4 linked regions of the Astyanax mexicanus genome follow. The protein of the gene in region 1 interacts with the protein of each later gene in a biochemical or structural test. Links are inferred from orthologs where the notes say so. Each region holds a gene or a part of one and is shown in the gene's direction. Other genes may lie near its edges.

The links.
Region 2: of the proteins of ikbkb (region 1) and nfkbib, one has a biochemical effect on the other in vitro, tested with the Homo sapiens proteins (2 studies listed by BioGRID). The link is inferred for Astyanax mexicanus from reciprocal best matches to the Homo sapiens genes IKBKB and NFKBIB.
Region 3: of the proteins of ikbkb (region 1) and tnfaip3, one has a biochemical effect on the other in vitro, tested with the Homo sapiens proteins (2 studies listed by BioGRID and IntAct). The link is inferred for Astyanax mexicanus from reciprocal best matches to the Homo sapiens genes IKBKB and TNFAIP3.
Region 4: of the proteins of ikbkb (region 1) and nuclear factor 7, brain-like, one has a biochemical effect on the other in vitro, tested with the Homo sapiens proteins (2 studies listed by BioGRID). The link is inferred for Astyanax mexicanus from reciprocal best matches to the Homo sapiens genes IKBKB and TRIM21.

The regions. Positions count from the first base shown.
Region 1 is NC_064419.1:217,608-225,235, forward strand, and holds the start of ikbkb (inhibitor of nuclear factor kappa-B kinase subunit beta), read left to right. Parts: upstream 1-4,614; 5' UTR 4,615-4,834; intron 4,835-6,034; 5' UTR 6,035-6,067; coding exon 6,068-6,172; intron 6,173-7,628.
Region 2 is NC_064408.1:33,211,247-33,218,890, reverse strand, and holds the start of nfkbib (NF-kappa-B inhibitor beta), read left to right. Parts: upstream 1-4,627; 5' UTR 4,628-5,113; coding exon 5,114-5,583; intron 5,584-6,807; coding exon 6,808-6,925; intron 6,926-7,644. UniProt on the Homo sapiens protein: Inhibits NF-kappa-B by complexing with and trapping it in the cytoplasm.
Region 3 is NC_064414.1:16,579,359-16,586,490, forward strand, and holds the start of tnfaip3 (tumor necrosis factor alpha-induced protein 3), read left to right. Parts: upstream 1-4,115; 5' UTR 4,116-4,250; intron 4,251-5,240; 5' UTR 5,241-5,277; coding exon 5,278-5,584; intron 5,585-7,132. UniProt on the Homo sapiens protein: Ubiquitin-editing enzyme that contains both ubiquitin ligase and deubiquitinase activities.
Region 4 is NC_064415.1:5,422,871-5,429,986, reverse strand, and holds nuclear factor 7, brain-like, read left to right. Parts: upstream 1-4,099; 5' UTR 4,100-4,288; coding exon 4,289-4,876; intron 4,877-4,972; coding exon 4,973-5,068; intron 5,069-5,155; coding exon 5,156-5,389; intron 5,390-5,484; coding exon 5,485-5,632; intron 5,633-5,705; coding exon 5,706-5,732; intron 5,733-5,832; coding exon 5,833-6,380; 3' UTR 6,381-6,640; downstream 6,641-7,116. UniProt on the Homo sapiens protein: E3 ubiquitin-protein ligase whose activity is dependent on E2 enzymes, UBE2D1, UBE2D2, UBE2E1 and UBE2E2.

The DNA.
Region 1 (7,628 bases):
ATACCCTAAATCATACATATCCTAAATCATATATATCCCAAATCATACATATCCTAAATCATACATATCCTAAATCATACATACCCTAAATCATACATACCCTAAATCATATATATCCTAAATCATACATACCCTAAATCATACATATCCTAAATCATACATATCCTAAATCATACATATCCTAAATCATACATACCCTAAATCATATATATCCTAAATCATACATACCCTAAATCATACATACCCTAAATCATATATATCCTAAATCATACATATCCTAAATCATACATATCCTAAATCATATATATCCTAAATCATATATATCCTAAATCATACATACCCTAAATCATACATACCCTAAATCATACATATCCTAAATCATACATATCCTAAATCATACATATCCTAAATCATACATACCCTAAATCATATATATCCTAAATCATACATACCCTAAATCATACATACCCTAAATCATATATATCCTAAATCATACATATCCTAAATCATACATATCCTAAATCATATATATCCTAAATCATATATATCCTAAATCATACATACCCTAAATCATACATACCCTAAATCATACACATCCTAAATCATATATATCCTAAATCATATATATCCTAAATCATATATATCCTAAATCGTATTTATATTTTCATATGCAGTAAAATATGCAAAGATCGAACACATATACTGTTTAACAGGTTTGGGCTGCAAAAAACAGACTCACAAATCCAAAGTCACTTCTACAGCCCTGACTGTAAATAAGGATACATATAGAATTGAGAAGTATAGAAATCGTTATGATTTTTGAGATGTTTGAATGAATTCAGCTACTTTATGTTGCATGAATTACTGACACAGATGTGCACAGGTTTTGTCAGTAGAATAGATTTATCTGGAGAAGGTCTCTCTGGAATGGTGGAGCTCCATCCAGCACTTCAGTTTGGTTGGGTCAGTTGGGTATTTGTGGGGGTAAAGTGGGGGTGTTGCACTGTAAAAATGTTCATAAATGTTTACAAAAATGTAAATAGAATAATCATTTTTTTAGGTAAGATTACATTTATTTACAGCGATTATGTCTCAAGTATTTTGAGTTAGGTGAACGTTTGACATCTTTGCGATGGAAATGATCAACTGGACCGAGAATGCTCCATGCTAACAAACAAAACACCTGCAGTGATGCTGAATTTACTCATTTCTCTGACCTTGATGTTTCTCATTAATTACCTGCAGCTTTGTCAGATTGTCAGATTGTCAGATTGTCCGGCCTCAGTGTTGGTGGCTTTAAGAGCAAGTTACCTTTTTCTGTATATTTTGGATTTCCTTAACATTTTAAATAAGCAGTGTGCAGGTCTTTACAGTGTAATAAACAGTATATTATATTAATAAAAGTGATAAAATGTAAATGTGTGTCACTATCAGTTTTCATGAATATGTAATATACCCACAGTAATCACAGTGTATTTAAATGATTGAATATCTGGTGCTGCGTGACTCAGGCGTGTTTATATTCAGGACTACTGCCCTGTATCATCCTGCAGTTCACTCACTAACAGGAAGCTGTGGTGTAAACACACTCCTGTAGTTAGGGGTGTTTTATCCGGACGTCACTTCACCATCAGCGTCACGCTCACCAACAGACAACGACACACTGCCCAACAACACCGTCACCGCGCCGCCTCCCTCCCCGTCACTAACACTAGTGATCAGACCGTCTCTCAGATGTGGAAATGTGGGAAATAACTGTGATAAATGTGGGATGATTTGAGTTAAATATCTAAATGCTTTCGGTTAAGTTAGACTGAGTTGTTTTCTGGTGTTTATTTAGTGGTCACCAAATCAGACCAACATTAATTAAATACCATGAAGATGCAGCTCATCCAGATTCCAGATCACAAATATTTAACAAACTCAATCAGACACATTTATTCAGTTACTGTCTGAAACTAACGGTTCACTTTGAGATGATTTGGAAATGTTTCACGTTGGCAGAACAAGCACCAGGAGTAAAGCAGCATAAAGTTATCCAAAAGCAGTGTGTAAGACTGGTGGAGGAGAACATGATGCCAAGATGCATAAATTCAATCTGTGATTAAAAAACAACCAGGATTATTCCACCAAATATTGATTATTTCTGAACTCTTAAAACTTTATGAATATGAACTTGTTTTCTTTGCATTATTTGAGGTCTGAAAGCTCTGCATCTTTTTTGTTATTTCAGCCATTTCTCATTTTCTGTAAATAAATGCTCTAAATGAGAATATTTTTATTTGGAATTTGGGAGAAATGTTGTCTGTAGTTTATAGAATAAAACAACAATGTTCATTTTACTCAAACATAAACCTATAAATAGTAAAATCAGAGAAACTGATTCAGAAACTGAAGTGAAATCTTAATTTTTGCAGAGCTGTATATTAATATGTTATAATACTGTAATTAACTAAACATACTTTAAATGTTTGTGACGCCATTCCCACTTTCATCATCCAACACCGGAGGTAAATAAATTTACAGTGAAACCGTGCTGTTCTCTTCTCTAAACACTCTTCTGTTTTGCACTGGAATGATGGAAAAACAGATTACACAAGAAATACTGATTTAATCATTGTGGCTTTTCTTTGGTAAATCAGACTCAGTGTAATCTGAGGGTCTTTGCTGAGAATTTATCAGCAGGATTCTACCCTTGTGAAAAAATATTTTTTTAATATAATATTAGTGTACTTGAACTACATGTGGAATAATTATCATATACTTTTCTGCCTATACATATATCTTTACCTGCTTAATTTACCTAGTTTTGTACTGGTGATGTACTTAATAAAATACATGCTTAATATTATTTTATAAAACTGTGCATTTTTATCACAAAACTATACTTTTATTGAATTCAATAAAACTGTACTTTAGTGAAATTTGCTAGCAAAACATTTTTTTTGCATATTTTGTGTTGCTTATAAAAATTAAAACTGTGCTGATGAACATTTCAGGTTTTAAATAAAGTTAACTTTATAGGATATCTTCAAATACACAGCATACACAAATATACTTAAATTGTATTAAATAGTGTCGTTAAATAGTGTATTAAATATTTGACTAGTACACTGATATAATTATATAATTTTAACTACAATTTTAATAAAGTACAAATTAGTGGTTCCAAAAAAACATAACTTAGTACAGTCCTAATTCAGTATAATTTAAGTATACTTTAAGTACAGGAGTAAATCAGATCAGAGAGCAGAGCCTCTGTGTTCACATCCTGCAGAACAATATTAAATAAACACATTTCCTCAATCTGAACCAAAACTGCGGAGGAAGTGAGTGTGAGGAAGGTCCGGGGTAGAGGTGTGTAAATCTGTTCACACAGGGAACTACAGCCGGAAACACCGAGCTCACGCCTGTACCAGGAAATGAACACATAGACTCAACACTGCCTGATGAGGGACAGGGTCAAGATTACGTTTACTGTAATATAAAATTCGAAAAATGTATTTTACTTATTAGAATTGGCTTTAGAATACTAATATATGCTCTTTAAATGTCTTCATAATAGTTTTTTTTTCAATATAGTTGCATTGTATACTTTAAATATCATAGTAACTCTAAATTGTTATTTATGAGTGTTACAAAATGTTGGAAACTTGTATTACCAAAGTTTATAAAACTATTGGTTCCTGCCATCATTTATTTACCTTTTACACACTGTAATTCCCAAACATTATTCAAATATTTTGAGTTAAGCGAACATCTGTGCCCACATACACATTCAATCAGAGATCTAGCAGTTTACAAGGGGCACTGAGTGATGTATGGGTTTAGGGGCGGGGCAGAAGGGAGAGCAGTGTGCCTCTGATAGCAGTGAGATGCAGATGGTTGGATGTCGTCAGCAGGGGGGCGGTATTATTGATTGATTGACTGATTGCTTGATTGATTTGCTTATTGTGAGTATCCATGTACCAAAGTACACAGAAACATCTTCCACAACTATAGCACAGTTAAATCTGTGAAGGCGCTACAGAGGCAGAAATAAAATCCACCATAATAAAAGCCTTTTTTGTAAAGGTTTGAAAATATATAAATATAAAAAAAAAATACCAAGACTGGTATGTTTCTTTACCTCAAAAAGGGACACGTTTCAGCTATTAATGAAAAATAAAATGGTTTACAGGGTTTTAGTGACTCTTTAGGTTTTAAGGATTTTAAGTACACTTTAATAGAAGAGATTGTTTTAATATTAACTTGAATATATCTTGATAATTATTTCTTTATTAATAATTATTTTATAAATATTTATTAGTACATTTATAATATACTTTTTTAGGGTAATTATTCAGTAAAATAAATTAATTTATCAGATTTTACACTATAAATGCAGGATTTGTCTGATAAAACGAGGCGCTTAGTTTTCCCACCCGTTTTCTGACATTGTCCCACCCAATGACTGTATCGGCCACATTCTCAGCCAGGATTGGCTAGACGTAGAGAGCTTCTGTCCCCTGATTGGCTTGTTAGATTTAAGTATCCAATCCTCTCCGAGAGGAGGCGGGGTTTACCTGATTACAGGTGTGTAAAAAAACGCAGCTCAGTGTTTACGGGAAGTGACTTTTCACTTTTCAGTATGAGGAAGTGTGTGCGCGTGAAGTTTTAATGGAAGATTCAGCTTTAAAAACTACATTTTACCGCTTTATTAAAGATTAAAGAACAGATATAAACACTGGGTATAACAGCGCGGTAGTTACATCGTATTTAACAGTGTATTTAAGTGTTTAGAAGCGGTGACTTTGATCCTGTTGTTGTGAAGGAGCGGATTCAGGTGATAAAGGTAATGTGTTGTTTAGTTTTACTGTTTTATTCTTATTTTACTATTAAATAAACAGATAAAGTATAATGCACACTGTCTCTCACATACACACAGCTCATTATTCACTGTTTTAAAACTATAAAACATCATTTTCCTCTTTATTAACTCTAAAACTGGAGTAAACAGAGCAGAGCTGCTGTAGTTCTGAATGTACCGCGTGCTGATAAAAATACTGATACTGATATAGATAGAGCCCACGCGCGAGAGTTTTAACCATAATACTAGAAATATCATTGGTTATTTTTGTTTTAAACATATTTGATTGGTTTCCTTTATCTCTTTTTATCTTATTTTCACTTCATTTCTAAAAATTCCTGTTCTTTTTATAAGTATAAGCTGCAGTCCTATATAAATTTCCTTTGTTTTTAATTTAATTTTATTAATAATAATAATTAATAATTTAATTAGCAACTAAATGCCCCAAACAAATACAAGTACATATGGTTGTAGTTGGTGTGGTGTAGTGGATAACACCACCGCCTGCCAGTGAGCTACGAACAACATGTGGGAGACTGGGGTTCAATTCCAGAGTCCTTGGACTAGACTCCTAACACTACATTGGCCCATTTCTGTAACAGGAATAAACTTATAAGTCACTCTGGATAAGAGCGTAATAATAACCGTAAATGTGATGGTTATTGTAAAGAATAAATAGAGTATTATACCACAGTTAGTTCCGACCCTGCAATGTGATTGGCTGAAAGGTGTTCTATGAGTGCCTTTATCAGCCGGTAATGCACTGTAACTAGACTCTCCATGTATTACTACGCCCACATACAGGTAACCTAGCAACGATGCAGCGCTTACAAACCAGACAGCGCAGCTACAAACAGAGCAGCAATGGAACTATTTTAACCAAACAGATCCTATTTTCTCCTCCTCTTTAACTCTTTAAAATCTTTCAATAAACAGTGATAATTGAACTGTGGTATAATTAAGCAATAATACACTCCTGTTATAGCACTGCCTCTTGAGAATTATTGGGAATCATCTTAAATCTAACCTCAAGTGATGGTTATATATATATATATATATATTCAGGTGGCAGCTGTTTATCAATAGGGCATCCCAAACTGTATGAATTTACTGTAAAATAAAAACAGCAACAGGTTAAAGTGTGTTTAATTCTTGTCTCTTTTTTAATGATTAATTTCTCCTCAGGACTGTGGAGAGAGCTGGACCTGAGGGGTCAGCATGAGCCGAGCTTCTCCCATGCAGCCCCAGAACTGCGGACCCTGGGAACTGAAGGAGAGACTCGGGACCGGAGGATTTGGAAATGTTACTCGGTGGCAGAACAAGGTATAAAACACTGTCTAAAACTTATAATAATAATAATAAACTTTATTTTTTATAGCACCTTTCATACATAAGCTCAAAGTGCTTCACAATAAAATTTTATAAATTAGCAAAATGTAACAGTAATATAAAACAAATAAAACAATTAAAAAGTAACAATTTCATAAAATAGTAGGAAATAAGACATTTATATTAAAATAAAATATAAAATAAGATAAATGTAAACAAAAATGATAAATTAAGAATAAGAACAACAAAAGCATTTACATAAAAAAAATATGCTAGTATAAGCAGTACAGAACTTGTAGAAAGCTGAACAGCTAAAGGAAGGTTTTTAGCTGTGTTTTTTAAAACTAGTAACACTCGATACCTGACGAATATTAATTGGTAAAGAGTTTAATATTTTCCAGATAAAAATCCAGATAAAGAGCTGTATATTTTACACCCTGCGCAGGATGTCTCGAGATGCTCATCGCCATCTTACACCCCGTCAACATTCCTCGTTTAAACAGCAGCAGAGCTATTTAAATTTGCTTGTTTATCTTGGTAACAGAAAACACAGGAGCTCCACTGACTGAATACAACCTAGACAGATGCCAACAGTCAGACGTTCATCGCTATCTTGTAATGCTGGTCATGTTGCTGTGCTGGTCATCCTGTAGTCCTTTATCAGTATTTTCATTAGGTTTTCTATTCTGTGGGTCCTGAGTATTAAAGAACAGAGTGAAAATTTGAAGGAGGAGAATAATAATAAAGTATAATAAAGAATAATGTTATTATTATTGATCTGTGTTTATAATCTGCAGGGCTTCTTTTCTTCATTTCTCTGAAGTGTCGTTTATTTAGTATCTTCGTTTATGGTAAAGGAAGCTGAGTCAGTCTCACCTCACCTCAGAAATACATCAGAAATACACAGATAAAAATAGAGCTGCTATTGTTTACCACACACCATTACCAACAATAACCTGTTAAACCCAACAGGAAATATGATATATATATGAGCATCCTCTTAAGGTGATCTCATACCGGGTCATCACCTGCCTCACCCTGGCAGCCGATTATAACTTTAAATATGGTGGAAAAGGTTGAAAATCCCCCTTCTCCTCCACCAGTCTTACACACTGCTTTTGGATAACTTTATGCTACTTTACTCCTGGTGCAAAAATTCAAGCAGTTCAGTTTGGTGGTTTGATGGTTTGTGATCATCCATCTTCCTCTTGATTATATTCCAGAGGTTTTTAATTTGGTAAAATCAAAGAAACTCATCATTTTTAAGTGGAATCTTGTTTTTTTCCAAAGCTGTATAGTATCTGGCTGCATGCCGATAAATTATAAATGTGTTCTGAGAGTCACTAATGGTTTTTATTTTAGGCGTCTGGGTCAGGACCTCTAAAACAGCTGGAACTGTAATATTAGTGGAGGTTTACGTAACTGTGCTCTTATTATTCTGCTCAGACAG
Region 2 (7,644 bases), on another chromosome or scaffold:
TTTCATATTGTGATATCAATTTATATTTATTGTATATGCAGCTAGCCAGTGAAGGTTATCATTGTTGTACATAAACAACACATTCATTTTATACATACAGATGCTACAACTGTGATCACTTGTAATCATTAAAAAAAACTTTTTGGTTACATTAAAATGCATTTTTGTAAAGTGGACAAAAATATAATTATAGATGCCACCTCTGTGACACAGTGGAACTGAGGCATGTTTTTCTATTTCTATTTCTATGTATGTTGTTTTTCCCTCATTTTAATTTAGTTTGATTTGATAGATTATTCACCAATTAAAGGTCTCTTCACACTCACAGCTTTTTATCATAAGGTTTTATCAGAGCATTGTTTCAAAAATCTTTGTAGCATCTTAAATTCTTCAGAATGTATGACACAGATATCCAGGAATGGTGTCAAGGTGAGCCATCTGGGCATGTCAGATCCTGTCATGATCACCTTTTGGACAAATAAAATTAGAAATATCACCAAAAGAACATTGTTATATTGTTTTTTTTTTTCTTTTTATTTAATTTTTAGTTTTTTCTTTACCAAATAGGTGAAGAAAACGTTTGTTACTGTATTTTTCCTATATATATATATTTTTTTATCATTTTCCATTTGTCCTAAAATCGCATGGTTATTATTGATTTTATACAGCAGCATTATCAACAAAACCACCAACTAATCATTTTCCCATGCCTGATTCAGCCCCCTTCATGGTCACCACCATGGTCACTTTAAGCACAATATCCAGCTCTTAAATCACACTGGAAATCATCTCTGGAAAGGCTGATGATCCAGCATATCTGCTCAATACAGTTGGAAAACTGTTTTTTTTCATCATTCAAGAGGAAAGTGTCGCACTGCATCCAAAACATAAGCTATACCCTGATGCTGATATTCCTGAAGAAGAGCTGATCCCCATGAGTATGACATCATCAGGGTATGCTCAGAAAGGATGTTCCTTTGTTTGAAAAGGATGGAGACTTTCACATGTGTGTGTTCTGCCATCTGGTGGTGCAAAATATACCTATATATCAACATGCTGTGTGCGGAGTAGGTTAACACTGAAAAACAAAACTCCCAACTGCCAGTACAGTTCAAATTGATCTACAAAAGTATTCAACAATTTTCTACTTAAGTACTTTAATTTAAAATGTACTACTCAAATACTGAAAATAAAAGTACAAGTACTGTGTCATTATTGTGTAGTTATTACAGAAAGCAGTAAAAAAAATGTTTATATTGTTTATCATCAAATGTTTAGGCTAAAGAAAACTCACAAAACATTTTGCTGTAGCAGCAGTACAAACACAGGACTGTACAAGATAGAATACAAGCACATGACATCTCCAATTAACTCTCTAAACAAACTCTTCCAAAAGAAATGCTAAAGAAAATTGACAGCAAGACATTAGTATATTTTATAACTATTGTAAAATCCACTAAAGAAGGCAAATGCCACATACAAGTGTTAAATACGTAAAAACAAGTGATTAGAGTATCTTAAAACACTGAGCTTAACCCTTTATATATAAAAAAGATAAATTTTCTCCTTTTCCCCTTTAAAACATGTCTCTCTTCTCTTCCCCACTCCCACAAATAAAAACATGAACTCTAAGCAGGGCCAGGGGTGGTCTCCTTTCTTACCCTCACCACTATTATTCGAAAGTTGAAGGTGCTAGAGGTGGTGTTTCCGGTTCTTTCATCTCAAAACAAACTAATAAAGCTCAAGTGTTCTCAATGCAGGCTGGCAGCAGAGTAAAAGGCAAAACAGGAGCAGCGCTGTCTTCTTATAAAATCAGCTTAATCACTTGAATCTCTCAATGATTCTTTTAATGTTGAGCAGCTTTATCAAACCCTGTGACACTGCAGAGCATATAACCCTCTTGCTTTAGTGATAATGCCTGTTTGGATTGATTCGTAACATTTTTATAATTGTAACGAATAACGATGCAGCACAATAAAAAATGATCAGAGTAAGAGAATTAAAACTCTTTAAAAAACATATTACTTCAGTAAATGCAGATACAGTGTTTTAGTACTTAAGTACAGTACCACTACTAATGCGGTGCTTGTGTGTCAGGGAAGATGTTAGCCTAAGAGCTAACCCCAGGAGCCTCGCAAACACATGATGGGGCCGTTCACCACTTAGCTCAATTAGCCAATCACTGGTATCGACGGAGCTAGATGCCACATAATGTTGGCCACCTTGAAGCTTACTGTAAATAAATGGGTTTCAGGAGAAATATACATGTAAATATTGCAGGTAGGGGGCCTTTCCTAACATCCGCCATCTCATTGCCTTTTTTCCTGACAATTTTTTGGCTCAAATTAGCCTATATTTTAATTTTTTATATATTATTTATATTATTATATTATTTTAATAATAACAGCAATAAACTAACACTCTGGTTTAGCTCCAGCTGAGAGAATCTATTAATCCAGAACTGTACTGTGGAACTCAAATTTGAAACTATAGAGCACTAAGGTTATTTTGAAGGTGTTTCCTTTAACCTAGCTTCTGCTGCTGTACTTGTGGTTAGTGGTGTTTATGTGCTCTGCTACTCACTTTATGGGCTGAAAGATGCACTCTGGAGTGATATTATCCAGTTAGAGAGATTAAAATCTTGGTTCTCATTACTGCATGAGGTACGTTACTCTTTACTGGCCAAGCAAAGCTGTGCTAGCCTGTATCCCTGACTAACTGCTAACAAATGAGTGGCTGCAGCTGTTCTCCAGCTCCTGAGCTCCATCTAGTGGAAGATGAGGTACAGCAGCTTTCTGTGGATTTCTTTGGATATGGAAACTGTGGTGCTGTTTTCCCCGCCACAAAGTACTAAAAGAAGATGAATGGTGGATGTTTTAAATGAAGCATCTTCAACTACTGCAGCAGCTCCTCTTCTCTAAATGGCAGAGGATATAAGTTAAATGGTGCCTCACAACACTCTTTGTGGTGTATTCATAAAACTGCTGTTCATGCAACAATCTCCTCTTTTTTTGTTATACACTCTAAACAAGCATATAATACTACTCATTTTGTATATATATATATATATATATATATATATATATATATATATATATATATATATATATATATATATATATATAGATCTGATGTTTCAACCAAAAAGAGTCAGTGACCAATGATGTTGCGAAAATGAGGGTGCGCTCATTCAAGACTATAGCCTGATAGTCCAGTGTGGCCTGCAGGGGATTACCAAAAAAAAAAAAAGTCCCTTAAATAAACACTGCAAAAATACTCTTCTCTTCTGGGTGTTGGATTTCCATTTACCAATATGGGATTGGGATCACACATATAAGCCTAAGTGCAGAAGTGCAGAAGTAATTCTTTAGGTGATACCTCAGAATTGCACATTTGCTTGGTTTATGTGAGAAGTAAACAACACTGTTTTAACATGTTTAAAAATGTAGTTTGTACATTGCCTTTGTTTTTTGTTTTTTTTTGGAATGGGTTACAGGCCTGAAATGCAGGAATGGATATATAATAACAAATGAAATGAAGTGAAGACAATACATGTCTGCAGTCTAAAAAGTCAAAGTAGATGTTAAAACAACTGTGTGTGTTTCCTCTTATTTGCATTTACAAAACTGGTCTTACCTTACTTTTTGTGGTTCTATAACAAGATATGTCACAAACACACCCACAAACTACCAACAAAGCATTAGAACCATAGAACGAAAGAAGGAACAATAGAATGACATAACAATAGATAGACAGATTTATAGACAGACATAGAGTTTAAAAGTATTTTTGTTATCTGTGGTGAGTATTGCATTATGCAGTAATGCTGACTAACATGTTTAATATCTAAACTTTTAAACAATTGCACACAATTACAATAATATGCAATAACAAAAATACCAGTGTTCAAATAAATCATGACTTGCTGTTTTTCTCTACATGTTTAAAATGCTGCACTCAAAATCCTGACCATGTTTATAAAAACTACAGATCACTGTGTTTATAAGTACTGTAACTAATGCATGGGCCAATTAAATTTGAATAAAATTTTAATGAAATGTGTTGAACTGGTCAGTGTAACGTTTAGCAGTTTCATTTTCTGACTGTATCAGGCTACATTCGAAAATAGAAAATTGGGTATAAAACTTAATATTTTTTTTACATTCAGTATAGTGAAGATGAAATAGATTTTCACTTATCTTTTTTTTATTTCAGCCTTTCACAAACAAACATCCACGAAAATTAAAACGATGAATCTTCTCTCGACTTTTGGATTTGTCCATTTTTGTGTCTTGTAACACAAATCTGATGGTTTAATCCAACTTGCAAAATGCAAAAATTGACAAATCAGAAAATAAAGAAAATATCCATTTTTTTATTTTCCTGAGATAAAAAAAAGAAATAAAATTGGAAACATGGATAAAAACGTATTTCTTGTACACTGCACTACATTTTAAAATGTTATTAATTTAGTTTTTACATCCAATTTTCTATCTTTGTATTTAGCCTATAACGGTCAGAAAGTTCAATTAATAAACGTTACACTGACCGTAACTAGTGGTGTGACCTATTGGAACAGAAGTGTGCTACATAGGCAGTAGGGTGTAGGGAGCTGGGAGCAATTTGAGACGCCTGTGTAACAAAATCCCCAATCGAACCGGTCCGGGCTGGGAATTCCCCGGGAAATCACCTACTCAGCCAGCGAAAGGCGAGAGGCTTTTTCTGGAAACTTGGCCGCTGTGGAGCCGCGGGTGTGCTGCTCGCACGGCTGAGTGAAGGGTTTAATATGGAGCGGACAGAGACATGGAAACGGGGCTGAATCACGCCGCGGAGGCGCCTGGCGCTGTTGTTGTGGCGGAATTTGATCCCAGACGAAAAACGGCCCTGAAAACAAACGGCCAGAGCTGAGCTAAACTCGGGCTAGCCGATTAGCCCGTTAGCTGGTTAGCTTGTTAGCGCTAGGTGGCTAACAGCGGGCGAGCTCTCTGTAAACAGTAACGTTAGCTAAAACCAGCGGGTAGTTTGTTTGGTTTTTGATCCGGAGGAGAAAGTGGCTGGCATTAACGACAGAGGCTTGATTTTCTCGGAGCTATAGCCAGCTAAATGATTATAAATGGAGTGGGCGCACCAACGGTTCTCCCAAGACCTCCAGAGCGGCGGCTATGGGGAGCAGGACGGGCAGCCCGGGGCCGGGAAGGGGCGCTCGGAGATCCCCCCTGAGGACTGGTGCGACAGCGGGCTCGACTCCTTCCTCGACGCCGAGAACGAGCCCGTGCTGGAGCTGCCGTGGCCCCGCGGGTTCCCGGCGGACTGCGGCGGAGCGGGAGAGAGTCAGAGCGGGGAGTGCGTGTCTCTGGGCGGCGGAGGAGGGGAGAGGCTGGACTCCGCTATCGGGGACTCCATCACAGACGAGGCGGCGGCGGTGGAGAGCCTGTCGGCCGGGATCAGGACCGTGCTGCTCGCGGGGGAAGCCGAGGAGAAGGCAGCGGGAGCCGGGGACGGAGAAGAGAGAGCCCGGGAGGAAGAGCAGAGGAAAGAGGAGCTCTGGAGGACTCTGAGCTTTGTGTCGGAGGACGGAGACACGTAAGAAACTTTTCTATAAGCTAAGTTAGATCACGATGTTTTAATTATTCATAATCAGCGCTGTTAAAGACGATAAAATGTTTAACCTGTTAATCTAAATGTAAAGTGTGCGTTGAGACCACTATTGCATAACAGACTGGACAACCTGGCACGTTTCACCAGAGGTGTAAAAGGCCAATACTAGGGCTGGGTATCAGCACTGATTTGAATATGAATCGATTCGATTCCGGTTCACAAGTCGAATTTGATTCGATATTTATTTAGGGATATTTCACTTAAAAATTAAAAAAAGCTTTGATAAGAAAAAGGTTTATTGTTATTATTATTGTTATTATTATTGTTATCAGCCAGGTCTGTCACATAAAAAGTAGAAGGTATATTGTGGCAGAAATAATTGAAATAAACAAAATTATTTTCTTTTTAAAATGCCTCTGATATAAAGATAATATAATAGTATAACATTTTTGTATAAGGTGTAATGTGGTAGACATTATTGTGATATATACAGTATTTTTTACAGAGCCTTGCAGTGTATTTGTTTTAGCAGTTTTAAATGTGGTAAACACAGCACAGCTACTGTTTTCCTCTTTTGTCATTTATTTTGTCAATTGTTGACATTAGTGTGCTTTTTGTCCCCCCTTACAAGAAAACAAGGATAGTATCATGATTAATTACAGAATATTGTTGATTAATGTGAATAAAATTTTGAATCAATTCACACTGCCAGTTTATATGAATCAATATTAGATTACCTAAGTAAATATAGATCTGAATAATAATAAAACAAGATTGTGGTGCAGTATACATAGTTCGCAAACATACTGTTCCATCCACAGCTCAATAGGTGTTTAATATATCAGTTTGGCTTAGGAAGCAGTTCTAGGCCTAGGAAAAAAAAACTGTAGTGTGAGAATGTCTATAGGGTCAAGATTATCTTAATTGGTAGAGCAAGTTCTCATTGTGATGCTTGCATGAACATTTAAGAACTGCCTTTGTGCCATAATGCTTTGGTTAACCCAGCCCTGTTTAATTCTGGGAGGTGTAAAAAGTGTCATATAAAAATTAATACAGCTGTTATTAAACAATCTGTCTGGGTTTAGGTACTAAGCTGGGTGAAAGAGACCACCTGGAACATTAGTTGGGCTCTTTGGGTCTTTTCTGGGTCTTTCCTGCTACTGCTGTTTTATGTCTGCTGACCTTTTTGACCTTTTCCTGTTCTGGCAGTGCACTACACCTGGCGCTGATCCACGAGCAGTGGGGATTTGTGCAATACCTGCTGGAGCTCATCTCCCACAACCACACCTGGACCCCATACCTGGACATTCAGAATGATCTGGGACAGGTCAGCTGGAAATACACACACACACAAACACACACACATTAGGGCAGCATGATATTTGCATAGTACATATCTGCTTGAGAATTACAGAATTAAAAATATAGAAATAACCTAAATTTCTACAATCTACAAATGTTTATGTATTTATATCAGCAGATTACTAGTAGGGCCCTATCAAAAAAGCAGAATTCAGATATAAACATGAAACAAAATCTGAAAATGTAAAAAAGGAAGAAAAAAAACAGCACTCCGAAAACTGTAAATATGATTTTCTTTAAGTCCCTGTACCTCATACAAATGCTAAAATTCTTCTGTTTAAGGATCGCATGCATATAGATGGCTAGCTGGTGTGGGAATGTCCAAAAAAAAAAGCTAGCTTCGAGTAGCAAAAAACATCAAATAAATAAAGTAACACAAAATTCAGGGAACACCAGTTTCTATGTAGTATATTTGTGTAACTGAACTAATGTCGAAAACAGTGTCTATTTATTGAGAAACAGCATATTGTTGTGGGCATTCACAGGAGGATTTTGGAGTCTTACTTCATTGCTAATGGTACATGCTAAACTAACTGAGTGCTAATAACCTTGTGGAGAAACTAATACACAGCAGTTGCACTGAATTGCATATTTATCTTTTATTTGTTTAAAAGATATTTGCTACAATCAGACGAAGTTACAAATTACACTTGTATTATTAAATATATTATTTAATATGTGCCT
Region 3 (7,132 bases), on another chromosome or scaffold:
TAACTAGTATGAAACAGTTTTATTAGGCCAGTGTTTCCCAACTGGAAGCCCCCGGCACTGCATAGTTCTGAGTCACAGCATTTATAATGATCAAAGTCATGTGAACCATATAATAAATACATCTACTGAACACTGGCCTGGACAGAATGTACACAAATAAGCTTAATAATCTCTGTGCCTATCATAAAACAGTAACTTGTGTTATTATAGAATTATTATTAATTATTATAGACACACCAGATGTATCAGTGTGAAACTGGTTGATCTTTATTTTAGACCTGGTTATAAACAGAATGTACAGCAGCGCAGAGTAGGCCAGGCTGTGGAAAAACTTTTCTGCACTTCATAAAGTTTTTTTTCTTTCTTTTCATCTCTGTCTGAGAATAACCCCGGGGAAGTTCCCCTTGACTAAACTGAGTGAGAAAAAAAGTGGACGGTTGATTGATGTGAATCATATGTATGTTCACATCCACTCTAAGCAGCGTGTGGCACATTATACAAGGCCATACGGCAGTAAAAATCTGAACAAAGTATTAGAAGAAGCAACTTAAAAAAGGAATAGGCTGCAGGCATGGACACAGTGAAGGCTTCGTAGATGTCCCTGCACTGTGTGTGAGCAGACTGAAACTGGGTACGTATATTGGGATTACTGAACAAATTCTTTACAAAGAAAAACAGACAAATTGAAACAGGTTGTGTGACAATTTAGAATAATTAATTCATAGTACAAGAGCTGATATTTCTGAATCTTAGCCAGAAAATACTGAGAACAGTATAAACCTGTCTGTTCATTTACTGAAAACATGATGATTCAACCAAATGTGTTTGTGTGACAGTCTTAATACCTATTCGTGGGTATAGCACAAGCCTGAATGAGGGAAGATAGTACAGTACATGTTCTGGTAAAGCACTGGTATGAGCAGGTGATTATTATATGTGGAAAATGTGACAATATTTTAATGTTATGATCAAATATGTCACAGCATGCTTTATTGATCATATCATGGACGATGTCTGAAATTTCAGAACACTGACCAGCGTACAGTAAATAAACAGTATAGTCGTGTTTGTTTGGATTTTGTGCAGTACTTGTGTCAATCCTTATCTGCAACAGGCCGGCATGAATGCAGGTTTTCAACTAAAATGTTTTATACTTACAATTTATAATTTATAATTACCGGTACATTCCTTATTTCACTCTGTTCTTTAATGCTCGAGACCCTACAGAATAGACCACCATAGAGCGGCTACATTGACACTGATCAGTATGGTGGTGATCTATGAGGTGTTAGTGTGTGTTGTGTTGGTACGAATGGATCAGATACAGTAGTGCTGCTGGAGTTTTTAAACACCTCCATGTCACTGCTAGACTGAGAATATTCCACCAACCAGAAATATCCAACCAATAGTGTCCTGATGGAGGACTAGAGGATCACAAACACAAACTGTACAGCAACACTGAAGAACAGGGTGAAAGAAGAATAATAATACAGTGTACAGAGACATGAATACAGGACTACAGTCTGTAATTATACAATTATATATGATCAGAGAAGCTGATAAGATGGACAGTGAATGTAGTGTACTTTTAACTACACAATGATAAATAACTGGAATTATACGTTTATGTGTATATCAAACTATTATATCCATACCACTATATAATCAAACTACACTAGTTTAACACAATACTTCTATTATAGACTAATGGAAACTCCTATACCTATGCAACATGCAAATTATTTAAGCAAATATCATTTAAATTAGATGGTTATTATAGTTTAGACTACTTCAACATATAATTTTACTAGAAACAATGTAAATACAATGCTTCCTAAACCACAATAAAAGCATAACTACACTAGATGAACACATTACTTTACTATACATGGCTCAAAATAGAACTAGAGCTACATTTATTCATCTATACATTTTAGTTCATTTCCTTGCAATCCTTCATTAATATATACAGTATACACACCTATTAAAGGTGTGGGTAGATGATGCTGCAGATGATCTTTGTAAGCTATATCAGCTATATCATCATTAAGTAAAAGAATTACTTACTAGATTACTAGATAGTTATAATATAATAACTGCTATATTACAAATACTTTCCTTAAGGTCCATTTCTAAATGTGCGTCATTTATTTTTACGACAATTTTAAACAAAAAGGATACGTTAAAATTTGTGTTTTAGATGTCATCCTAATACTGTTCAAAGTGCCCGTCTCTTACCGTGCCTCAATCAAAAAGCTGTTTGAACTGAAATATTTCTAAAACATAAATGTGAGTATGGGCGGAGCTTTCCTGCTGTAGGCTGAGCAAAATTGGTAAATACACTTTTGCACCCAGAAGAAAGTGTGGGATTGTAAAGTTATTCAGAAGGAAGATAAAAGTTACCAATACCAAAAAAGGTTAGTAATTTAGAATGACATGGTCCTATTCATTGAGGTACAGATACAGAGGTCTCAAATAATCCATCCCGTGACACCAGGCCTTATGAATGTGTGATGCCTTACAACAAACAGTTGATCCTGGTGCTGGACACGGTGGCTCCACACATGGATTTGTTGGTCACCCACTTATTTTGTTTTATTCTTTCAAATTTTAGAATACAAATATACTTTTTTGAGAAGACACCCTGTACTGCAACACTTAAAAGATTGTCATCAGTTTTTTACAGTACTGCTATCTGTACAGTTGGCATATGAACGAGAGAATGGCTGCAGTTAAACTGGTATTTCTTGCTTCTGGGCTCCCCGTACAGTTGTGGCATTTGTACTTTAAGCCACCACCCAGCAACACACTTTATACATGCATTTTGGGACTTAACACTGAAAGAGAAACAATCATGTGAGCTGACACAGCAAAGTAATAGTACAAGATTCTCAGGTTACATAACATTACATAGTTTTTTGGGTCCTGCTTACTTCAACAACATCAGACAGTGTTGTAAACAATACAGACGCTATTTTCCCAGTTACACATAAGATTTATAAGATGATAGGATCTAAAAGAGCTAAAAATGTTACACAATATATTACTATCCATTTACCAAAACAATGCCAAAAGCCTCTTAGCTCAGGTCAGAGTGATATGCAAATAAGTTTGTCTCAGTAGGGTAAAAATGAGTAAAAAGCAAAATTACTAAATTCTATGTTTTTATATTTTTAGAGACGTGTTTTTATCATTAACTACATTTTGCCACTATTACTTGGTTTCTGCTTAGTCCATGTAGAGAAGAACTGATAATAGAATCTTTTTGGAGCAGATAAATGTAAGCCTGAACGTGATGCCAGGCATGGGTTAGACGTATGAGGGTTCTTCCAATATATTGATGCTTTTGGTGCTGAGTGCATCAAATCCTCACAGCAATGCTTTATAGTCTAGTATAAAGTGGGGACAAACCCTTTTTAATATCCCTAATTTTGGAAGAAAAATAATGAGCAGCTGTCCCAATATGTTGTTCATGTGGTGTAGGTATTTTCCTTTTTTGACCCAGAATAAACCTAAAGCTGTTTAACTCAGTTATATAGACGTAACTGAATTGTAGTTGGTGGTGGTATTGAGGTGTTATCTAGTGAGGGTGGTGAGGGTGCTCTGGCTGCGGGTCTGAGCGCCCTCTGCTGGCCGGGCCTCAGTCTCAGACAGCACTAACCCGCTGAAAGGCCTGAAACAGGCGCGCTCCGCGGCTAACAGCAGCCCTGCGCCGCTGCGGGGGAGGCTCGGAGGGGCGCAGGCAGCGGGGCTGGTGGGTTCATGGGTGGTAAAGGCTGGAGCTTTTTAAGACAATAGAAAGATTTAAAGGCCCGACAGCGGGCAGACAGATACTCCCGGCCAGACCTCCGCCGATGGGTGTGGCAAACATTAGCAGCGTAACTGCGTCACCGTTTCGAGGGCGACGTCAGCGCGCTCCGCGAGCGTCCGCGCGGGCCTGGGGAGGTAATTGGCTGCGCGCGGTTGTGAAAGTGGAAAGTACCTCCTTGGAAATCCCCGCTGGCTTTTCCTTGTTGACATCAACTCGAAGGCTTTTCGGCTGGTTAAGCCCCGCTCCGCTCCGCTGTGTGAGAGAGAGCGTGTTATTGTGAGGAGGCTGGTGGTGCGGATCAGCCCGCGGTGTGAAGCGCCATGGAGCAGCAGCAGCGCGGTTAGCGGGGTTTAGCGCTCCGGACTGGGGGACCGAGGAGGCGCGGAGTCGCAGCTCTTTCTCTCGGGCTTCCGCTGCTGGATACCGACATATTGAGCAGGTAAGAGGCGCGCGGCCCCGGTCCGCCCCGCGATTATCCGTGTTGACTCCACACTGAGCCAAATGAGACGGAGTCGGTTCGGAGCGGGCCGCGGTGACTCGGTGTGTGAGTGAGAGCGGATGGACGGTGTGATTCTGAATGCCCGGGTCTGACAGCCATTGTTTGTGAAGACGCTCCTCACAGCCGCTTATTAAACACTCCGCGCAGCGGCGGCCCGCTGTCGGCCTCGCCAGTGTGAATGAGGAGTGTGTGGCAGGTAGTGGAGTGTGTGTGGCGGGTAGTGGAGTGTGTGTGGCGGGTTGTGGAGTGTGTGTGGCGGGTAGTGGAGTGTGTGTGGCGGGTTGTGGAGTGTGTGTGGCGGGGGTTTATTGTCTGTAAGGGACAGAATTACGTAATTGGAGCGCCAGCTCGCCGTCGCCGCTGCTTTACCCCGAGCGGAGCGGCGAGACGCAGCGGCTCCTATTGTTGTGCTGCAGCCGAGCAAAACACCCCGCCGCCGCCTCACCCCCGGTCCGCTCAGCCATTCTCCTCTGAGCAGCGTTTTACTGCGGGCAGAGACGGTGGGCATGAGTTGTGTGTGTGTGTGTGAGAGAGGCAGGGTATTTGTATAAGTTGTCCTCAGACAACCTCAGCCTGTGACTGAGCGCAGGAGAGCCTAAATGATGCCCTTGTAGGTTAGCTTAGCATCCTCAGGCACTTTCACTGACAGAAGATGAGAATCGTGTGTGTGTGTGTGTCTGCCGTCCGCAGACTGTAGTGTAATAGACCAAAAATTACCCTTTGTCCATCTCTGTCATCATGACCTCGAGGAAGTGTTTCACAATAAGGGTTTGGTAGTGTCCAACGTCAGGTGGCTCCATGGGCCCACCTGTTATATCTAACCCACATATTTACTCCAGCCTACATTGTCAGAGTGTATTGGTTGAGTAATTGGTTGAGTATTGTACATGTTGAGTAATGTCATTATTGCTGTTCTTTTCCCCCCAACAGAAATAATTTGGTGTCCCGCTCCTCTCCCAAGAACACAATGTCCCAGGGCCAGAACTTCCTGCCCAAGTTCCTGTTTGTCAGCAACCTTCTAAAGGCTGTAAAGATACGCGAACGTGTCCCCAACGATGTCGTGAAGCCCTCCTCCAGCGGCGGCCTGCTCCATCACCTGCGGGGCATGCACCGCTACACTCTGGAGATGATCCGCATGAGCCAGTTCCCGCAGGCCTTCTGCGAAGTCATCCAGGCAGCCATCTTGGACCGGGCCATGCAGATCTCCCTGGAGCAGGAGAAGAGGCTCAACTGGTGCCGAGAGGTCAAGAAGCTGGTGCCGCTCCGGACGAACGGTAAAGTCTTGCTTTTAGGTTGTCACATAGAAATGAGATTTGGCCAGCCTGAGCATCTCTTTTGGTAGCTGCTTTTTTGTGGGGATTTTGTACAAATCAGATTGGAGAGTCCTGCAGACTGAAAATTATGGATATACTTGGCTTTAGAGTGGTAAACTGGTTTGCCTTTAACACAGGGTATGTCTGTAGAGCAAGCTTACAGCTGAATACAAAGTTTTTTAGTTAGCCATCATCTAATAAGGATTTGTTTGTAATCATGTATAGCATTAACATAAAAGTTTTCTCATGTAGTGCAGATCCTGTTGGCTATTCACAGTTCCCTTTTTGCTTCATTAACGAATTGTGCCCATTTAAGGCCCTCTAGGCCTAACTGGCCCACTGCACATACAAATTTGTCTGTGGTGAACTCTGTTCAGTATAAGATAGACTTGCTAAAGGTTTGTGTATGAATTATGACAAGATCAAATAGTCAGTTGTGGATGTATATTGTGTTTGTTTTAAATGCCTGATGCACAGGCATTTTAGACATAGAGGGAAAATCCTGTAGCACCCCTTTTTGGTGTGATTTGATTTTAAGTGGCCCCACTATTGCGCTGTTAACTGTAAGCTCTAAGAGAGTTAAACATTTCTACTGTTAACTTGAGGTCAAGCTATTCTGCTTGCTTAGGATGAGTAATTTAACAAGAGGAAGCATCTGTGTACTTGCCCTTTTTGCTTCACTTTACAGTCACTTATGTTACAATAGCCCCACCTGAACAGAAGTGTCATGAAAGCTTGTGTTTTACAGAAAGTTGAAAGGAGACGTCGGCCAAAATGTATTGTTCATCACCTTTTGTCATGACTAGAACTTTTTCCTTAGTGTGTTTCCAAGATTGGGGTGACGGTGGTATTGTGGTGACTTCGAATCGTTTCAGAGTTGAGCTGTTGAATCCAGACATTTTATTTGCTGACTTTTCCTCTTGTAGCTAGCATCTAAAACAGTTAATTTATATGGTTTATTGTACATATGTTACTAATATAGATATTTGGACTCTGTGCAGCTTCCTCTGAATTAATCTAGTCTGGGAATTTTGTGTTTTGAAGTCGTTTGCGGATGTGAAAGTGTTGGAACTGAATGTGCTGCTTTGAATAAAAGACTTCTCAGAATGGATACCACTGGCTGCTGATTACTAGAATTCATAGTATCAGGTGACACTGGGACAGGGGTGAGGGAGAGCAGGACAATCCGTTCCAGTGTCTGTGCAGCTGACTCATTTTATTTTGTGTCCATGTCCTGAAGCTGCAACTGAAATGGCGATCCATGCTGATAAGGATGTGGTTGTGAGTGAGGAGCTGGGTATTTCTGACAATCACCTCCCTGTGTTTCATATCATTTTTTTCACCAGTTGTGCCAATGTGTTATTATAATTGATTTATAACATATAATATCCCCATACATGAAGAAATAATTTATGATGTGTGACCTGCATCAGGATACTTAATTAATTTTACATTTGATACATTTAAGATCCCTAGTTACGACATATAAACATTACTGACAAAAGCTCT
Region 4 (7,116 bases), on another chromosome or scaffold:
AAACTGTCAGGTAGCTTCCTGACAGTATGCCGGCACTACTAAAAACTGTCAGGGAGCTTCCTGACAGTACGCCGGCAGTATTAAAAACTGCCAGGGAGCTTGCTGACAGTACGCCGGCACTACTAAAAACTGCCAGGGAGCTTCCTGACAGTACGCCGGCACTACTAAAAACTGCCAGGGAGCTTCCTGACAGTACGCCGGCACTACTAAAAACTGTCAGGGAGCTTCCTGACAGTACGCCGGCAGTATTAAAAACTGCCAGGGAGCTTGCTGACAGTACGCCGGCACTACTAAAAACTGCCAGGGAGCTTGCTGACAGTACGCCGGCACTACTAAAAACTGCCAGGGAGCTTGCTCACAGTACGCTGGCACTATTAAAAACTGTCAGGGAGCTTGCTGACAGTACACCGGCAGTATTAAAAACTGCCAGGGAGCTTGCTGACAGTACGCCGGCACTATTAAAAACTGTCAGGGAGCTTCCTGACAGTACGCCGGCAGTTTTAAAAACTGTCAGGGAGCTTGCTGACAGTGAGCCGGCAGTTTTAAAAACTGTCAGGGAGCTTCCTGACAGTACGCCGGCACTATTAAAAACTGTCAGGGAGCTTCCTGACAGTACGCCGGCAGTTTTAAAAACTGTCAGGGAGCCTGCTGACATTACGCCGGCAGTTTTAAAAACTGGACTCTTTCATATGGGAGTGGACCTGTTTTGGCATTATGGAAAAATCATGAGAAATTTAATTTTAAGCATGAATAATAAAAATAAATAAATAATATAAAATAAACAATACAGTGAATTTTTCCCAAACTTGCAGGAGTCATAGCCTAGGACAGACTCTTTCAAATTGTAGAGATCATGAGATCATGAGAAATTTAATTTTAAACATGAATAAAATAATAATAATAATATAAAATAAACAATACAGTGAAATTTGCCAAAACTTGCAGAGGTGATAGCCTATGTTTTGGCATCAAATGCTAACAGTGGAACTGTTTTGGCATTATGGGAAAATCATGAGAAATTAAATTTTAAGCATAAAAAATTAATAAATTAATATAAAATAAACAATACAGTGAAATTTGCCCAAAATTGCAGGAGTCAAAGCCTAGGACAGACTCTTTCAAATGGTAATGGAACTGTGTTGGCATTATGGGAAAATCATGAGAAATGTCATTTTAAGCATAAAAAAAAAAAAAAAAAAAAAATTATATAAAATAAACAAAACAGTGAAATTTGCCCAAATTTGCAGGAGTCATAGCCTAGGATGGACTCTTTCAAATGGTAGTGGACCTGGTTTGGCATTATGGGAAAATCACAAGAAATTTAATTTTAAATATGCATATACTATATATATATGTTTATATCTATATATTTTTGTAATTAATATAAAATAAACAAAACTGTGAAATTTGCCCAAACTCACAGGAGTCATGGCCTAGGACATACTCTTTCAAATGGTAGTGGACCTGGTTTGGCATTATGGGAAAATCACAAGAAATTTAATTTTAAATATGCATATACTATATATATATGTTTATATCTATATATTTTTGTAATTAATATAAAATAAACAAAACAGTGAAATTTGCCCAAACTCGCAGGAGTCATAGCATAGGTTCTTTCAAATGGTAGTGGATCTATTTTGGCATTATGGGAAAATCATGAGAAATTTAATTTTAAACATGAATAAAAAAAACAATAATAATAATAATAATAATAATAATAATAATAATAATATAAAATAAAAAATACAGTGAAATTTGCCCAAACTTGCAGAGGTGACAGCCTATGTTGTACTCTTTCAAATGGTAGTGGACCAGTTTTGGCATTATGGGAAAATCATGAAAAATTTAATTTTAAACACGCATACACTTTTTTTATTAATATAAAATAAACCATACAGTAAAAATTGCCCACACTTGCAGAAGTGATAGTCTATGATGGACTCTTTTACAAGGTACTGGATCTGTTTTGGTTTTTTGGGAAACTCATGAGAAATTTTAATTTGAAGCATGGATTGAAAAAAGTAATATTAATATAAAACTCTCTCTCTCTTAAACACTGATGGGATATTATATCAAATAGATAATGTACTGCACAAAATATACAGTGAGGTGAGTTATTTTAATCCGTTTTTTCTCGTTTCTGGGCTTAATGTATGTCTGAATTAATATAATAGACTGAAACGTGTCGGTCTCCCGTTCTCTGTGTTTTTTAAGCGTGCTCTCCGCCTGCGCGGCTGTTTACCGTAAAATCGCACGTATACGCGCATCAAAATTTAAAGCGCGGATGACTTGACTGAGAATTTCCGAAGCGCGGATAGCTTGACTCCGGTCTTACTGTCAGCTAGCCCCCTGACGGTTTTTAATAGTGCCGCCGTACTGTCAGGAAGCTACCTGACAGTTTTTAGTAGTGCCGGCGTACTGTCAGGAAGCTACCTGACAGTTTTTAAAACTGCCGGCGTACTGTCAGCAAGCCCCCTGTCAGTTTTTAGTACTGCCGGGTACGTGCCTGGCACTGCCGGGTCGATGAAAAAGTGTCTGGCGGGTGACGTCACGAAGACCCACCACTGCCGCCCGTCTCCCGTCAGGCAGAGATCCAACCCCCTCTCCCTGTGTGCTCGCGGAGCGATTTTTACTGCAACAAAGCTGCCAAAAGTCTCCAGCCAATCAGAAGTGGCAAAAGGATTTGACCAGTTAAATAGACCGCTGAGGTCGTGCGTCATTCTGTAGTTCTCGTATGGCTTATAAGTGTCTGAAAGTTCTCAAAAACTCGCCTCTATCACATTCTGTGGTAAATAAATCTGTTCAGAACTCTGTACGTTTTATTCTGTGTACATTTTCCTCCTATACATCACTAGATCCTCTGAATTATGAGATCGTTTAAGAGTTGTAATGAGAAAAAATGCTAGCTTTAAGCTAACGCTTATCTGTGGCAGGAAATGCCAGAGTACTCGATTCTGCAGTACACCAGCGAACTCCGGTCGGATCGCGTTTTGCACTATTCTTCTTCTTCACAGAGGATCATTAAAGTATTTAAACAGGTGAAAACTCTATCAGTATGGTGATGTTGAGCAGTGTAGTCTGTGTTAGAGCTTTAAAAGGCAGATAATAAGAGAAAGTGGTTCTCAGTTCAGGAGCAGCGCTTCCCTGCGGGTTTAGTATTTAATTACGGTCATTAGTTTATACTAATTACATACTAAACACATGACTCAAATTATCAACTAACAACTAATCAACTAACTAACTGCCCTCACTGAGGCGAGCTGTGTGTTACAGCAGTAAAACTAGCAGGACAGAGTTACTCCAGAACCACAGAGCTAACCCAGCTAACTGAAGAACTACAGAGTCTAAAACACTTGTCCTGTAAAACATGTAGAATGGCTTAATGTGAGTTTTTTTTCCACTGAAAGACATTATAAGGATGAATCTTAACGTGGCTTAATGTACTGAAACAACGAGCCAGAAAGACCAAACATTGAGATTTATTTCACCAAATAAAAAAAAGGTAAATGGTAAAACGTGCTACAGTGTTTAAAGCTGGTTTTGGAGTAACTCTTTATTGCTGGGTTAGTTTTTTTTTTTTGCTGTGACACAACCAGCTCTCCTCACAGAGGTCAGTTAGTTCATTAGTTGGATCAGCTGTGTTTAATATACTGTAAACATACTGCCGGAGTTTGCTGGTGTTGTGCCGAAAAGAGTCCCCTGCTGATCTCTGCAGCTGCGCTTGGATGTGAGTTCTGTGTGCTGTAGCATTAGCTCAAAGCTAGATATATGATATATCCCAGATATGATATATCTGAGAGTGCGTGTGATGTTTCGTACAAGAGGAGAGTTAATCTGAGAGAGAGCATGGTAAATTTGTGAGAGCGCACCTATATTTTACACGTGAGCAAATAAAATCTGTGAGCGCTGCATGAAACAGACTCTTACATTCAAAAACTTCGCTCTCGACTATTGGCAGTAAAATATGATGCCATAGTAATGTCTCTTAATCTTCCTCCTGTTTCTGCTTCCTTCTGTTCAGCTAATTTTTTTACATTCACTGCTCTTCTACGTGTTTAAACTGCTGTAAGACGCTCACTTCTTTTCTCCAGCTCAAGCTGTTCACTTTAGTTCAGTCCCAGAGTTCAGCTTTAACAGCTGGAATGTGGAGATGATCAGCAGCTGGATGGGTTTGATGGTGAAAAGTGTGAAATTGTTTTCATTCACTGACTAAGAATTATTCTGAAATGATCTCTGTGCTCTCAGATCACCTTCATGCTGCTTCTCTGTGTCTCCTCAGTCAGTCATGGCTTCCTCCAGCAGTCTCCTGTCTGAAGATCAGCTCCAGTGCTCTATCTGTCTGGATGTGTTCACTGATCCAGTCTCTACTCCATGTGGACACAACTTCTGCATGGTCTGTCTCAGAAAGTGCTGGAACAGCAGCTCACACTGCCAGTGTCCAGTCTGTAAAGAAGAATTCTCCAAAAGGCCTGAGCTCCGTGTGAACACCTTCATCTCTGGACTGGCTTCTGAGTTTAAGAAGTCAGTTCAGGAGAAGTCCAGCAGAGCTCCAGAGAAATGTACCTCCAAATCTAAGAAGGTGCTGTGTGTCTATTGTAGTGAGGAGAAGCTGGAGGCTGTAAAGTCCTGTCTGGACTGTGGCGTTTCTTTCTGTGACACTCATCTGATGCCTCATAAAACTACACCCAAATATAAGAAACACAAGCTGATGGATCCTGTGGAGAACCTGGAGGACTACATCTGCCAGAAACATGAGAGACCCCTGGAGCTGTTCTGTAGAGACGACCAGACGTGTGTGTGTCAGTTCTGTACTGAGGGAGACCACCGGACTCACAGTACTGTTCCTATAGAGGAGGAGAGTGGAGAGAAGAAGGTGAGAGATGTTTAGACAGAGAGTTATTAACACTAATTTTACTATTCTCCTATTTTTCCTAAGAATAACTGATCATAATGTGTCTCTTTATCACAGACTCAGCTGGAGAAGACACAGGCAGAAGTTCAGCAGATGATCCAGGAGCGACTGAAGAAGATCCAGGAGATCAAACACTCTGTAGAACTCAATAAAGTGAGATTCTATAGCGTTTAAACTCATTTTAAATATGAAAGCTGCTCTTTAAACAGTGTTATTGTTCTTATTGTTGTCTCCTTTTAGAAAATCAGAGAGAAGGAGAAAGCAGACAGTGTGGAGATCTTCAGGGCTCTGGTGCGCTGCATTGAGAGAAGCCAGGCTGAGCTGCTGGAGGTGATGGAGGAGAAGCAGAAAGCAGCAGAGAGGCAGGCTGAAGAGCTGATTAAAGAGCTGGAGCAGGAAATCACTGAGCTAAAGAGGAGAGACACTGAGCTGGAGCAGATCTCCCACACTGAGGACCACCTCCACCTCCTACAGGTCAGAGTCCCTCTGTTTCTCAATAGTAATGCAGTCCATCACAGGACAGCACTGCCCATGCTGAGGGGTTTCTCCTCTCTCCTGCTGTACTGTAGATTTACCCGTCCCTCTGCAGACCCCCACACACCAAGAACTGGACTGACGTCAGTGTTAACACTCCTCTGAGTGTGGAGAGTCTGAGGAGAGCTCTGTCTCAGCTTCAGGAACATCTCACACAGGAGATGGAGAAGATTGGTAAGAGTGGTAAGTGTTTACTGTTCAGGTTTTTAATAAACCTGAATTTAGAATCTAATAGTCTTTATTCTTTTTCAAACAGAACTGAAGAGAATTCAGCAGTATGCAGGTGGGTGGGGCTTTCACTGATCACATGATTCAGTCTGTATGATTCTCTATTTCTTACAGTATGTTGATTAAAATGGGTTTAAACTGTGTTTCTCTCTCAGTGGACGTGACTCTGGATCCTGATACAGCAAATCCTTTTCTCATCCTGTCTGATGATGAAAAACAAGTTAAACTTGGAGACAAACAACAGAATCTCCCTGATAATCCAGAGAGATTTGATCCTTGTGTCTGTGTTCTGGGAAAGGAGGGTTTCTCCTCAGGAAGATTTTACTATGAGGTTCAGGTCAGTGGGAAGACTAAGTGGACATTAGGAGTGACCAGAGAGTCCAGCAACAGGAAGGGAAGGATTATACTGAGTCCTGAGAATGGATACTGGACTGTGTGGTTGAGGAATGAAACTGAATATAAAGCTCTGGAATCTCCTCGTGTCCTCCTCTGGTTAAATCAGGCTCCCCAGAAGGTGGGGGTGTTTGTGGATTATGAGGAGGGTCTGGTCTCCTTCTATGATGTTGAGGTCAGATCTCATATCTACTCTTTCACTGGTCAGTCTTTCACTGAGAAACTCTATCCATACTTCAGTCCTGAGCTCAATGATGGAGGTAAAAATTCAGCTCCACTGATCATCACTCCTGTTCAACATTATAAATGAGCTTTATTGTTTATTTACTCGATCAGAATCTAATTTGTTGAGTCAGAACAAAAAATCTGATTGTAGATTAAAAGTAGATTTTGGGTAACAAAAGCTAGTTTCTGTTTAACAAATTAATATCTAAATAAAATCTTAACAATTTCTACACAAAGATTCTCTTTATATCTGTTTAAAAGATAATTTTCTGTTAAGTTTTTGTTCATAATGGTGGTAGTTTTCCCCTTTTATTTTCTGTATTAAATCATTCCTGAATAAACTGTGAGATCTGCAGGTCTGTGGTGTTTTATTATATTTTATATGTTTAATGAATCTACATGTTTTTTAGATGTTTAATGATTACTGCATGTGTTTATTCAGTATTAAAATATACAGATTCAATATAATTAAACTTACTTTTAGTTAATATCTTAATATCTTATTTAATTATTTACTTATTTTTAGTTAGTATTTAGTTTACTTTTTGTACAATGTCTTAGTTAGTGGTATTTTTTACTATCTACCTTTTTATTCTTGTTATTGTTAAGTACTAATTAGCTATATCTCTGGTCTTCTTTACTCCATAGGATCTTCTAACCAGTAAAGTCTGGATCTCAGATTTAGCAGAAGTTCAGTACACACTGTGTTTCAGCTCAGATTCAGTATTAAACACACAAAAAACCCAAAACACCCCAAAATCGGTTGTACAATAGTTGTGTTTACTGCTTTGTGCTGTTTTATTTGGCTGAGGTTAATTTTG